2 linked regions of the Arabidopsis thaliana genome follow. The main gene of each other region encodes a partner of the protein of the gene in region 2 in a complex. Each region holds a gene or a part of one and is shown on either strand. Other genes may lie near its edges. A codon is read from its position in the direction of its gene.

What was found. The genes of interacting proteins can lie anywhere in the genome.
Region 1: the proteins of PYL10 (region 2) and HAB1 are in contact, whole or in part, in a crystal structure (PDB 3RT0), measured with the Arabidopsis thaliana proteins. Residues at the interface, in NP_194521.2 of Arabidopsis thaliana: Pro57 (codon at 1,783), Phe58 (codon at 1,780), Ser60 (codon at 1,774), Arg61 (codon at 1,771), Asp78 (codon at 1,720), Leu79 (codon at 1,717), Lys80 (codon at 1,714), Ser81 (codon at 1,711), Gly82 (codon at 1,708), Leu83 (codon at 1,705), Pro84 (codon at 1,702), Ala85 (codon at 1,699), Thr86 (codon at 1,696), Arg112 (codon at 1,618), Leu113 (codon at 1,615), Pro144 (codon at 1,436), Asn147 (codon at 1,427), Glu151 (codon at 1,415), Thr152 (codon at 1,412), Phe154 (codon at 1,406), Phe155 (codon at 1,403), Ala158 (codon at 1,394), Leu159 (codon at 1,391), Asn165 (codon at 1,373); in NP_001185385.1 of Arabidopsis thaliana: Arg199, Ser200, Glu201, Glu203, Gly244, His245, Gly246, Gly247, Glu323, Thr324, Lys381, Ile383, Gln384, Trp385, Gln386, Arg389, Phe391, Gly392, Val393, Leu394, Tyr404.

Annotation. Positions count from the first base shown.
Region 1 is NC_003070.9:27,387,641-27,395,024, reverse strand, and holds HAB1 (HYPERSENSITIVE TO ABA1), read right to left. Parts: upstream 5,078-7,384; 5' UTR 4,778-5,077; intron 4,387-4,777; 5' UTR 4,028-4,386; coding exon 3,281-4,027; intron 3,170-3,280; coding exon 2,822-3,169; intron 2,738-2,821; coding exon 2,632-2,737; coding exon of another isoform or gene 2,612-2,631; exon of another isoform or gene 2,509-2,611; coding exon 2,174-2,508; 3' UTR 1,698-2,173; downstream 1-1,697. Other genes in the region: AT1G72790 (hydroxyproline-rich glycoprotein family protein), read right to left, coding at 1-177; AT1G72760 (Protein kinase superfamily protein), read left to right, coding at 6,724-6,904, 6,984-7,075, 7,177-7,301. UniProt on the Arabidopsis thaliana protein: Key component and repressor of the abscisic acid (ABA) signaling pathway that regulates numerous ABA responses, such as stomatal closure, seed germination and inhibition of vegetative growth. Confers enhanced sensitivity to drought.
Region 2 is NC_003075.7:13,897,979-13,903,252, reverse strand, and holds PYL10 (PYR1-like 10), read right to left. Parts: upstream 2,112-5,274; 5' UTR 2,034-2,111; coding exon 1,911-2,033; intron 1,829-1,910; coding exon 1,610-1,828; intron 1,524-1,609; coding exon 1,314-1,523; 3' UTR 1,253-1,313; downstream 1-1,252. Other genes in the region: SDG16 (SET domain protein 16), read right to left, coding at 2,997-3,087, 3,177-3,277, 3,359-3,433, 3,521-3,607, 3,697-3,786, 3,880-3,939, 4,025-4,111, 4,195-4,405 and 4 more. UniProt on the Arabidopsis thaliana protein: Receptor for abscisic acid (ABA) required for ABA-mediated responses such as stomatal closure and germination inhibition.

The DNA.
Region 1 (7,384 bases), on a different chromosome or scaffold from region 2:
GAAGAAAGGAGGGATAATGAAGACGACTATGAGGATTGCAGCTGTTCCGGCGAAGAATATTTGAGTGGCGATGGTGGTTGTACGGCCACCGAGACTTGCAGTGCGGCGGAAGTAAGTGTTATTGCGGCGTGATTGAAGCCAAAACGGCGTAGACGCGTCTCCATCATCTTCTTCCATACTCTTTCTATTATTTGGCTTTTGATTAGAAAGACAACTTTTAGTTTAAGAGTGGTTGGCTTACGATGCTGTAATGTGTTTGCTTTTATGCTTTTGCTTGGATTGATATTTGTTTTTTAAAATGCTTGGGGACTTGGATTTGGTCATTTTTATTTGTTTTTTTTTCTTTCTGTGGATTCTTACTTTAATTTACACATTTTTTACAACAAAAAATATGTCTTTGGAGTATTTTAGAGATTTTTTATAGGAGACAAGCAATCGGATAATTGACGTATTTAGTTGAATATCTATGTCAAATTCATCAATTTGCATATATATTTATTTATTACATGAAAATACATTGCGCATTTTACGTAGAGGATATCTGAATTAATTGTATAATGTTCAAATATGTACTAGTTGACTATATACAACTTTACTCGGTACATCTGACCAGTTCTTGAGTTTGAGTCTCGGCAACACAACAGTATCTAACTCCCTAGTCCTAAATGTATGTTTCACAATGATTAGTTGTATAGATAGATATTGCAATTTTCACAAACTATCCATATTACCTGATAATTTGATGTCCACAAACTCTGAAAATCTTACATTTTTTTAATTCTGAATTTTGAACTTGTAAAGAAAAAGGTTCTAGTATCTTAACCATACTCTAGACAAATGACATTTACACCCAAATTTTTTTTTTATAGAATTGTCAAATCTTGATCTTTTAAAATCCGAACCAAACTTTGGTCATACGGTCATGCCTAAGAGAAGGTTCAATTGACACATGATTTTTTTGGGGGAATTTTTTATTTTTATTTTAATAACTTGTTAGACAAGCTGGAAAATGGTGGTATTTGCTTGTGAAAGTTGGAAATGGGAAATACAAAGAAAGGCCTACTAATACAGCTGGATTACATGAAGCAAATACAGATTGGTACGTCAAATAATCAAAATTGTTCAACGGAATCATATGTCTAACGTGTTAATAAACACGTTTTCTATGTGAAGCTGAGGCCGTGATTACTAATTAGTCTTTTAATAATTATATGAGAGCCGGTGTTGTCGTGGCTTTTACAAATGGCCAGGCCAAACCGTCAAAGGCAACATACTATAATCTAATCAAGTCTTGTTATCTTGATAACTTATCTAAAAACGATAAACTTTCTCTCACAAGCTAGATTTTATGTGGTGCCAATGATTAACAGCTTTCTAAGTTTGATTTAAATACACTTACGGTTTCACACGTCACTTCCACATTTGTAGGTATGAGGTTGATTTCTATTTCTACTCAATTTAAGAAAAGAAATATTAACATTTCGTAAAGACTCTAAAATGTTAGATGATTAAGGTAAGTTATGGAAAATGTGATGATAACAGAAAAAAAAATGAAAAACGTGAACGGCAGGATTCGAACCTGCGCGGGCAAAGCCCACATGATTTCTAGTCATGCCCGATAACCACTCCGGCACGTCCACCTTTTGCTAAGTGTATTGCTTTATCAATACTTAACATCAAAATAAAAATCGACCTGTGGTTAAACCCCCAATAAACTCTCATCTCACCGTTAAGTTATAGAACAGCGAAGAACACAACATGAAAAGACAAATGCAAGAAGGTTAATGTGACATAGTTTCAATTACAATTTCATTTGCCACATCTCTCAAACTATTACAACATATTCAACTATTTCAATACCCCAAAAAAAAAAAGCATTTCTCTGCCTATTTCTTCTTATACATACGAATTCAAGTACCATGAGAAAAAAAGGAATGTACTTATAATTAGCTATGCATCATCTTCTTAATCTTCAGTCTTTAGTCTTTACTTCTCCTCCCCAACCCGCATTTCCATTTTTTTTCTTTATTTTTTCTCCCTTCTAACAATATTGAGTAATTAACATGTAAAAACCTGTCGAAATTAGATCCTTAACGATCTAAATTATACGAAAACTCGAAACTTACCCCCAGTAAAAAAAAAAGTAAGTAAGCGTACTGCTTGTAATTAAGCTTCAGGTTCTGGTCTTGAACTTTCTTTGAGCTTTCAAGTCAATCACAATGATGGAGATGTTGTCTTTACTTCCTTTTTGTAGAGCAAGCATTGAGAGGTAGTCAGCTGCGGCTTGGCAAGCTGGATCTATTCCTTTGCCTCTCTCTGCTAGAGGCGGTGCACCGTTCTTCTTGTGCCACATCAATATCCGTCTCCTTGCTATTTCGCAGACTTCTTGGTTGTTCATTACATCCCAAAGACCGTCACTGGCTAGTATGAGACACTCGTCTTCTCTTGACCGAGGCATGAATGTCACTTCCGGTTCTGGGATCACATATGGCTTCAGATATCTGTCACCTGCATAGTTCCAGAGGAGGAAAGAAACCGGAGGATCTAATGTTTCATGTAGGGGAGTAATTACATTATCAAGCCACGTTTGTGTGATGTGCATTACTGGTCATCAAAAGAAGCAATGCTTACCGATGGACCTAGACATGGCGAGAACACCAAAAACACGTGCGCCTTGCCATTGTATAACTTTGCCTCCAGCATTTTCTATTCTTGCATATTCATCCTCTCTATCTGGCTGCAGAAAAATGGAAGGAGGTAAGAAAACACTTTTATCAACTTTGTAAGTTAGATTGGGGAAAGAAAAGGAAGTTCATTTTACTTTGTGATCAACTGACAAGGGCATGGCTTCTTTGCCACGGAATAAAACCGCCCTCGAATCACCGCAGTTAGAAACTACTATATGTGATGAGCAAACCAAGGCAACAACAGCAGTTGATCCTACGGTCTCAGACGCAACAGCCTCAAGAACCTTATCAGAAGAACCAACAACGGCTCTACCAATTTTTCCTTCAATCTCACCATCGACAGTTAGAAAACAACTCGTGAAGACTTTATCCCACTGCACCTGCCTACCCTCTCCTGTATTCCTCTTGCATAATTCGTCTTTTATACGTTCTATTTCTTCAGCCAAAGCAAAATGGAGTCTATCTCGGCAATAGTCAGCAACCTACAAGCCATTGTAGATTTAAAATCTATGAATTTAACCAGAACATCTCAAAGAGGTGTATAACAATCTACATTGCTAAAACAACTTACATAAAATGTGAATATAGCATACCTTATGGCCTCCATGACCATCATAAACACCGAAAAAATGACCGGTGAGGTGTGTGAGGCTTGGACTCATACCCTCATGGTCCCCCATAAGCATTTTGATGGGTAGTTTCAGAAAATGAGGTGACACGGCAAAAGCATCCTCCATCTCAGATCTATTCCCTTGAATGGAAACCGTGCCCCAAAGCGGTATACAATCTAGTTCATAAACACTTCTCCCTTTCACCAGATGATTACTATTTTCATCTGGCAATCTAATGACAACCTCCGAAGTATTGGTATCCTGATTTACACCCGCGATAAGAACTTCCGCGGTGGGAACCTGCTCAATGCTTGATTCGCCTACGATAATCGCGGTTGCAAGAACTCGCCCGTTATCTATTTCCATAGCTGTATTAGACAAGCTTAATTCAGAGCCTGCATCAACAACTAACAAGCCCTCACTTATGACAGCACTATTATCCTCCACAACAGACAATACATCGTCTTCATCAAAAACATTGGAAGACCCGCTTCTCGTATCGGATAAAGTTTTCAACAAATCCTGTTCACCTACCTCTTCCAGTTCAGAAACATCTTCCATAGTGCATTCAGTCCCTCCGTTGCAAAAGCTTTGATTTTCAGAATCAGATAACAAGTCAGCTGCATCAGTAACGTTCTTTAGCTGAGTGATCTCGACAGGTGATGATTCACACATGGTGTTGGCTGCTAAGCTAAGAGTCATTGCAACTGCGGGAGTCATCTCCTCCATGAGCTCTCCAAAATCAGAGATTTCCACACCACACCACAACAAAGCTTTAAATTTCAAAGATGGACTTAGGAGAAATCAATTGTTTTCATCTTCTTCTTCGAATACTCTAAGCAATGGTTTCATGATGTTGAAGAATCCTTGCTCCAAATAAGTTTTTGTCAGCGACCCAAATGCCGCTTTATTCATACACTAACTTAGCATAGTTAAAACGACGAATCAAGGAGAATTAAGTACCGGAGATAACCAGATCTGACGAATCTATACGACGAATTCTCCTCACTCGATTATATCACTCTCTTGATCCCAAAATCGCAACAACTTCGTCGATCTTTTCTCAAATCCTTATCTTGATTTCAACCCTATTGAGAGATCACAAAGCACTAATCAAAAACTCACGAATCATTATCCAAACGGTCATGTCAAAGAAAATTCACACAAAAACCAGAAAAAGGAGGGAAAATCAGCGAAATCAATCACAAGAAAGCCCTAAAAAATTCGAACCATTAACGTCCATAATCATATAGTAGAACATGGGTTTCCTTGGATCTAAATTAAAAAAGAAGCTTTAGCTTTACCCAGAAATAGAAAGATGAATTTAAACTTTGTTCTTAAGCAAAACTAAACACAAAGCTCAAAACAACAAGAGAGATTCGACACATAATAGCAAAAATCTTCCGATTGAAAAGCTAACTACACAGAAAAACAACATAAAAAAATCAGGAAAGAAAAAAGAAGAGAGAAAGAACTAACCAGTTGATGAATCTTTAGAAGATATTCGCATCTGCAAAAAAATTAAAATCGAACAGAAGAGAGAGAGAGAACAAAAGTAAAGATGTTCTTCTTCTTCTTCTTCTTTTTATTTTCTTCCCTCAGGATTATTTCTCGCTCGAGCTAAATTGCTTAGAGAGAGGCTCTCTCTATCAGCGAAACAAAGAGAGAGAGAAGAGAATATTGTGTGGTTTGCTTTTTCTCTCTGTTTTTTTTTATTCCTTTTTTTCTTTGGTTTTGTAATATAATTTATAGGAAAAAAGAGTATTTATTACAAAAGAGGATTAATAAAAGGACACGTATTAGTCTTTGTATCATTTTGTGAACTTTGTCCTCTTTTTTTCTTCAACTTTTTGTCCTTTTTCTTTTTTTAAGGTCGCTTCAGGCAACACCTGTCGATCAGCTAACAACAACAGATGTTATTTAATTCCTTTTTTTCCCATTTATTTATTTTCAGAACCAAAAATATGTTTACAAATGGAAATTGATTTCTTTCTCTTTCCTTTTTTTAAAAAAAAAATATATCATAAAAATTTATATAAAGTAGAAAAACACTAATTATTTCCATAAAATTTTGACATGTAATATTAACCACGAAAATTAGATATAGATAAGTGAGTATCTTAGTTGTACAATCTGACGTGTAGATAAGTGAGTATCTTAGTTGTAATTTGTATTTGATATAACTGTAAAATGAATAAATTGTATTAATAGGATCAATGAAATCTTGACACGTAATATATTGGTTCAGCAAAAATTTCCCATATATTTTATTTAAACTGATCAAGTTTTAGTTTTGAAAGCTATGAGTAAGAAATAAAGATTGGTTTTATAGTTACGAACTTGTCTATAGAACTCTCTAGGTAAGAAAGAATAACACAAAATTATTGTTATCAGTAAGAATGAATCAGCCTAAAAAAATAAAAATATTTATGTATACTTTTCGATAACGTTAAAGTACAAGTTCTCACAATCAGTGTTTAATGGAATCGTCTTAAGAGTAATAATCTTTCGAGAGACGTATAAGATATGGTGATATCGCCAAGAAGAAATAAAGATGGAAGACGACAGCCCCAGAAAATTATATTATTTGGTCGTTTACCTTTTTTTCTTTGTTCTTTTTGGATACGTAAATCAAAAAATGCAACGTGTGTTTGTTTTTTTCCAAGTCAATAATCGCAATAATTTCGATTTCTACCACCCGCCCACGTGGCTACTCTGATTGATCAGGGACGAAAATAATAAATATTTTGTTACACCTCTAGATTTTGTACTCATAAATTTCAAATTCGTAGATACATATATTGCTGTTGCATTATTATCGAAACTCAAATTAAGTAAATGTGTGTAAATTGAGATGTGTGATCATGTTTAAACATAACATTCTATTCTCTAGTCTATTTTACTCTCTTTTTTGGTTCAACCTCTAGTCTATATAAACCTAAAAGACTAAACCATATGTTTGACTAGTTTTACTAATATTTTTATCTAAAAACTTTGTTTTACTGATTAAGATAAAATAATCGATTTAATATTTTGATAATGTATAATCGAATTTTATTTTAATCGAAACGCGTACATTATAGTACAAACTAGATCTCACCAGCAACTTCCCAAAAATCACTCTCTAATTAAAGATAAGTTGAGACTTGTGGAAATTTCCATTCTTGTTTGTTTGTTTCACAAGACTGTTGAGTTGTTTGAGAAATAAACCCTCCAAAATTAGAAAAATTGTAAAACCACTAAAAGCTTCATCATCTCACAATACAATTTTCTGTTTCTTTTCATTGTTCATTGTTTCTTCTCTGAGGTTGCAAAGCCAGACAAAAGAAAAACAACACAATCGATCTTGGTTGTGGGTGTTTTGTGACAAAGAAGACATGAGATCATTTATGAGTATTATAGTTTCCTTGTGAAGCAGGTTATTCATGTTTCTTGGGAAGCAAGATTCTAACATGTCTGCAAGAAGAGTTAGAAGGACCTCGGAGGACTATGGCAGTATCACGGCGATCGCCATTGATAAGGACAAGAACAGCCAACACGCCTTGAAATGGGCCGTTGAAAATATTGTTGCTGATGCTCCACAATGTGTCCTTATCCACGTTCAACGTAAGCATCTCTCGCTCTTCTCTTCATCATTGAAACCAAAACGTCAAAGAGCCACCCTAATTAGGAGTATGTTTTGCAGTAGGAGACACAGGAGGACATTTTCATCAGGACAATCCGGACGAGGCACATGAATTCTTTCTTCCTTTCAGAGGATTCTGCGCTCGAAAAGGAGTTAGTATTAATCGATCATTTCCAATCTCCTTGCAACAACATTTCACACTTATAATGCATCAAATATGATCATGACATTCTTGTATATACACACTTTTCAGATCATAGCAAAAGAGGTTATTCTTCATGATATTGACATCTCCAATGCTATTGTCAACTACATCACCAACAATTATTACATTGCAAATCTTGTTGTTGGCGCATCTGCACGCAATTCCTTCCTTAAGTCTCTCTCCTCTTCTCTGTTTCATGCTTGGTATCATCTCAACTTTGGTTATACAAAATGCTAACATTCAATTTTTCTTTGTG
Region 2 (5,274 bases):
AAACCTCCAAGTCAATTTCTTAACTTTTAACATATAATTTATATACTTGTCATTTCCATATTATTTTGACTATGTTATTATGTTTTGCTTATATTTTGCTTAGCTTTTGCTCACTATTATTAATATTTTCTTAAACCATTACTATTTATTTTATTCTATTGTTAATATTATTATAAACCATTACTACGTTCTTTGAAACAACTCATACTTAGTATATTTCTGATTTGTTTTCTTCGTCATAGTCTTTCTTGGAACGCTCTTGCTCATCTTCAGCATGCTTTCCATCCTCTTACTCCGGCCAAGAGTTCCGGTATTCTCCATCCCAAAGCTGAGGTATCCAACTTCAGTCTCAGTCTAGATTCTGTGTTTCATAACAGGAACACAAAGATCAAGCTTAGATGCCAATATGGATTTGCTAGAGTCTTCTTCAAGACTCTTTTGCTCTCCGAGCAGCGCATAGAGCCATTCAACATCACCTCTCCAGAGAAAAAGCCTCTGACGCTGCTGATGTTTGATCTTTCTCAACATCTCTGGAACTTTGAGGACGTACAGATCATAACAGAATTCCAGATGAGAGCATCTTGGGTTTACCTTAAACTAAACCGTAAATTTAACTAATATCAATTGTTATTAATCTTTTATATATATATATATATATATATATATTAGTATATGAAAACATGAAATAAATTCTTATATCATATTATTTAATTTTTATACTTTAATCAAATCTAAAAGTTCATTAAAATTCTATTAATTTTATGTTTATACATAAGTTTATACGATTTATATAATTTAATTTAAATAAGTTATTTATGTGAGTTTGATATACTTTGTACCTAATTAAATTGAAATTATTTAATTAATAAGTTCAAACATGTCAAAAAATTTAGAAAGAATTAATGCATGATTATAAATTCTTAAATACATTAAATTAAATAAGAAATGTAATTCATATGTTGATGTGATAAGTGTCACTCTATCTAATGCTGATATGTCGAAAAAATGGAGAGAGTTGAAAAAACTTTCATAAATATGATTTTGCATGTGTCATGATATGTTATTTATATTTTCATGTGGAAATGTTAAAAATAAAAAAGCATTTCATATAAACACTTACAAATTTGAATTTATATTTCTCGTTTGACAGCTATTCGAAATCATTTCGTTACAAACTTCCAATAATATACAAACATTCAGAAAATGGAAATAGAAGAAGAAAAAACATAGACATTGCTATAAAAGGGAAGAGTTATTTCTCTTCTTTGGTCTTTTTCCTTCTTTTCCGAATGAAAAGATTCTCAAGTCACATCTCATATCTTCTTCTCCATAGATTCTGCTTGTAGACGCTCGGTAACATCTGCTAAAGAATTGAGATTGCATTGAATCAAAGCCTCCACGAAGAAGCATGTCTCCTCCTTTGTGTTACCTTCCGGCACATCCACCACGAACGATTCTATAGCCAATGTCCCTGTTTTTCCGTCTATCGTCTCCGAATGTAACGAAATGGTTGAAGAATAATTCTGATTGGACAAATAACAAATTAAGCTCTAAAAAAAACAATAATCTTGTCGGAATGAATGGTACATTTAAGGAAATTTCAATTTACCTTGAGTCTATGATCACCACCAACTATTCTGATGCCGAGAATATGCTCATTGTCGTCAAGAATCTCTAATACCTCAGTGCTTTTAGTAGCTGGTAATCCAGATTTCAAATCCACTTCTCTTACGCTACCAACCTCCAGCTTCTTACCTTGTACCACACACCTACTGATAAATGGTTTGTATTTTTGTGGTTCATCGAATCTCCTCACAATTGACCACACCTTTTCCAAACAAAACAAATCATTTAACATCTCAAAAATCGTTATCTTTAACACTTGAAAAACAGAGCAAAGCAAAGCTTACGAGATGCAGAGGAGCTTTGATGTGCTTAACGAGCGTAGAGCTACATTGAGACTCTACAAGCTCGTGTCTATGGTGTTTCTTGATGTACTCGCTCTCCACCTTCTTTGTTTCGTCACCGTTCATCGTTATCTTAAATAGCAGCAATTTAAATAATTTTGATTAGACAAAAATTATTCGTGCCTTTAGTTTTTTTTTTTTTTCACTCAATAGTAGAACCACTGTACCAGTGTGCAGCTATTTAAAGGATGCTCTTTTATATTGACGAATATAGCCTTCCAAGTTTCTATGAGTGAATTCATTTTTAACTTATATCTGTATTCCCATTATCTTGGATTATGATCCGACATGTCAAGTACAGATGGACGGATTGTAAACATTAATGTGGAGGATTGTAACATTATTTTTTCCTATTTCTTTGAAAAATATCTCTCTATCAAATGCTTTAAGTTTAACACATAACCACAAAATCTTTAGAATGTTTCAGAATTGCTCATATACAGTTTGACACCGAAACATTTTTTCTTATGGGAATTGTTATCCGTTATGCAATTTACCTTGTGTGGCTTTGAACATATCTGAAGTATAGATAAGAGTCAATCCATATTCGCATCAATTGGGCCGTCAAAAACGCTTAAAAGTGTTTTAAGAAAACCATTACGAGATCTTTTATCAGCAGCAAACTACAATTCGTCTGACATGGCACTTGACGAAAGCACGATTCATAAACCGGCGCGAAAGGAAAATCAATTCCCAATTGAATTGACTCATCACCTTCGCGGTATAACCGTAGTAAACCGATGGTTATAGGGTAAAACGGTCACAACAGTTGGAATTATCCCAAGTTTTCTGCTCAAGTCTCGTTGAAATGAACAAAATGAATGAAATTGAATTCTTTTGAGGATAATGGTGACACAAACGAGTTTGTCTATACAGAGAGGCAGAAGAGATCAGACTTGGATCACTTAGCTTTTCTCTCTACCTATAAATCTATTGTTTTTGGAGCAAAAAGAGACAATCTTGCTTTGGCCTTTTCTTCTTGGTGTTGTAGCCTGTGAAGTAAACTTAGAGGATCTATACCTTTCTATTCTAATTCATGAATTTCCTGCAGTTAGGGGCTTTACATAAGCATGGCACCTTGAGTTCCTCTGCCTCGTCTGGATCAAATAAGTAATCATACCTGCCAAAACACCACACAACATTTCTTAAACTATGACAATCAATCAGCTTTAGATTGAAGAATGGTATATATAGAAATGCGTTGTGTACGTTAACTCCTCTCCCACAGCTACATTGGCCTTGGCTATCAGGACAATCCTGCTTTCCTCATCTCCTACACTCATAATCCTCGCATAGCAGTTTGGTGTACACTACACACCACGTATTTTGATTTAGGCTTTAACAGTCTGTCAAATTTCTTGTACGTAAAAAGTCCATGCCAAGCAGCTTACCGAATGATTGATGAGCCGAGCTATATTCCCTTTATCTGTAGCATCAACCACTACTTCTTCACTGATCTTGAAAAGCTGCAACATAAATCCTTCTTTTGGTTAAGAGAGATAGAGAGAGAAGAGACAATTTGTGAAGATAAAATGGAAACTTTTTCAACTCACATAGCAATCCTTTCCTACTCTGCGATAACGTGCTTCTCTCAAGTCTGCAATGCTACCTCTCACCTGTTCCCCTCTGTATTCAAGAACCTGAAATACAATAGCACCTCTCGACAATAAACACTCCCCTCATCCCAAATAGACCAAACACAATATCACAAATGGGTCTGCTGACATACCATTTCTCCTTCTTGGATATTTCTTCTTGCAAAAAGACCCCATCCATGAATTCCAGATCGCCCAAAGCAGACCCGATCCATTTCTGTCCTCTGTTACATTAAACATACACATGTTACAGCCGATAATATCAAAAAATAAAACCTGAACATTCCAATCTCGTTCAAACATCAGAGAATTCTTGCCTGCAAGTGGTGAAGTCGTTCCCTGAAAGAAGAAAACGATTTGGGTTCTTCTGGCACATGCTACACATAATACAACCCAGAAATGTCAGATCCAAAAAATAATAGTAAGAAACGGAGTAGAAGAACTGCATGGAGACTTTCTTACTCTGAATGTGTTTAAAGTTTGGATTGCTGCTGATGCATGATGGCGTGGTCCCCTTGTGTGGTGAGGAATGGCTTCTTCTTCAATCCTCTACAAAACAAAGATCAGCCTACTGGACAAAGGAGATGTGCAACGAAACATACAGACTTTTTGTGGATAAGACCCAATATTACCTTCTTGCTATTGATCTTTCTTTTAAATACTCGACAACGAGCAGCAGAAAATGGATCACATGTAATGGTATTCTCTGCAGGTGCTTCATCGTCTTCTCTGATTAATGAAATAAGCCTGGAACCACCTTTCTTCTTGTTTTGGACAAGACTCTTTGCAGAGAAGGCTCCTGAAGGAGTTTGTATAATTAACACGTTATCTGGGTTGGGAGCCCTACACACCAAAAACAATAGATAAAACTTATAAATCATAAACCAACATCGTAACACCAAAAATTCTTTAAGCAGAGTTCTGAGAAATTTCACCTGTGATAAGCACAATAGGACACCATCTTTGTTATCTGCTGACCATTTTTCTCCAAGCAGTGCAACTACATACAAAATGCATGGAAATATGCCTATTTAAATGGAGTAAGATAATAAATTGCAAAGGAAAAAAAAAACTCAAGTTCCTTTAAGTAAAGATTAAAAACACATTATCTATCGGAAACCAGTTTCACTTTATACGACTATATAAAAAAGATCGTTCCAGTTAGTTCAAAAGCATGTATAGAAAAAGTCAGTGTCGTCTGATCTCATGAAGAAAGATCAGAAACAGTCAAACAGTAAGCATACCTCCATTCTATAACCAGCTCGGGAGGCACACATGGCATGATAGTATGTAGAACACTTGCAACACTGAGTACACGAGCCATGTATTTGTTTGCATATTACACATATCTGAAATCCATCAAAACGAAGAAGATTTCATGCAATTTAGCTTTGGTCGCAGACAGTTATGGAAAGGTCCAAAATTAAAGACAATAAGTTAATATTAAATTTACCTTCACAAAATTAGTTGATGGAATACTCAAAATCCCAACTGCAGGTTCCATTTTTTCCTCACTTGCAAAACATACTTCAGGCTGAAACCAAGCACATGTCACATGAACCCACAACGTTTCCACATCAGTTGGCTTCAATGCACCTCCTATCATCAGTGACAACATAGCGGAGCCAATGGATATAGTTAATAGGCAGTGGTGCCATATGTTTATGTGAAAAAGCTGAATATACTTTATAAAGCCACCTTTTACAGGGCAG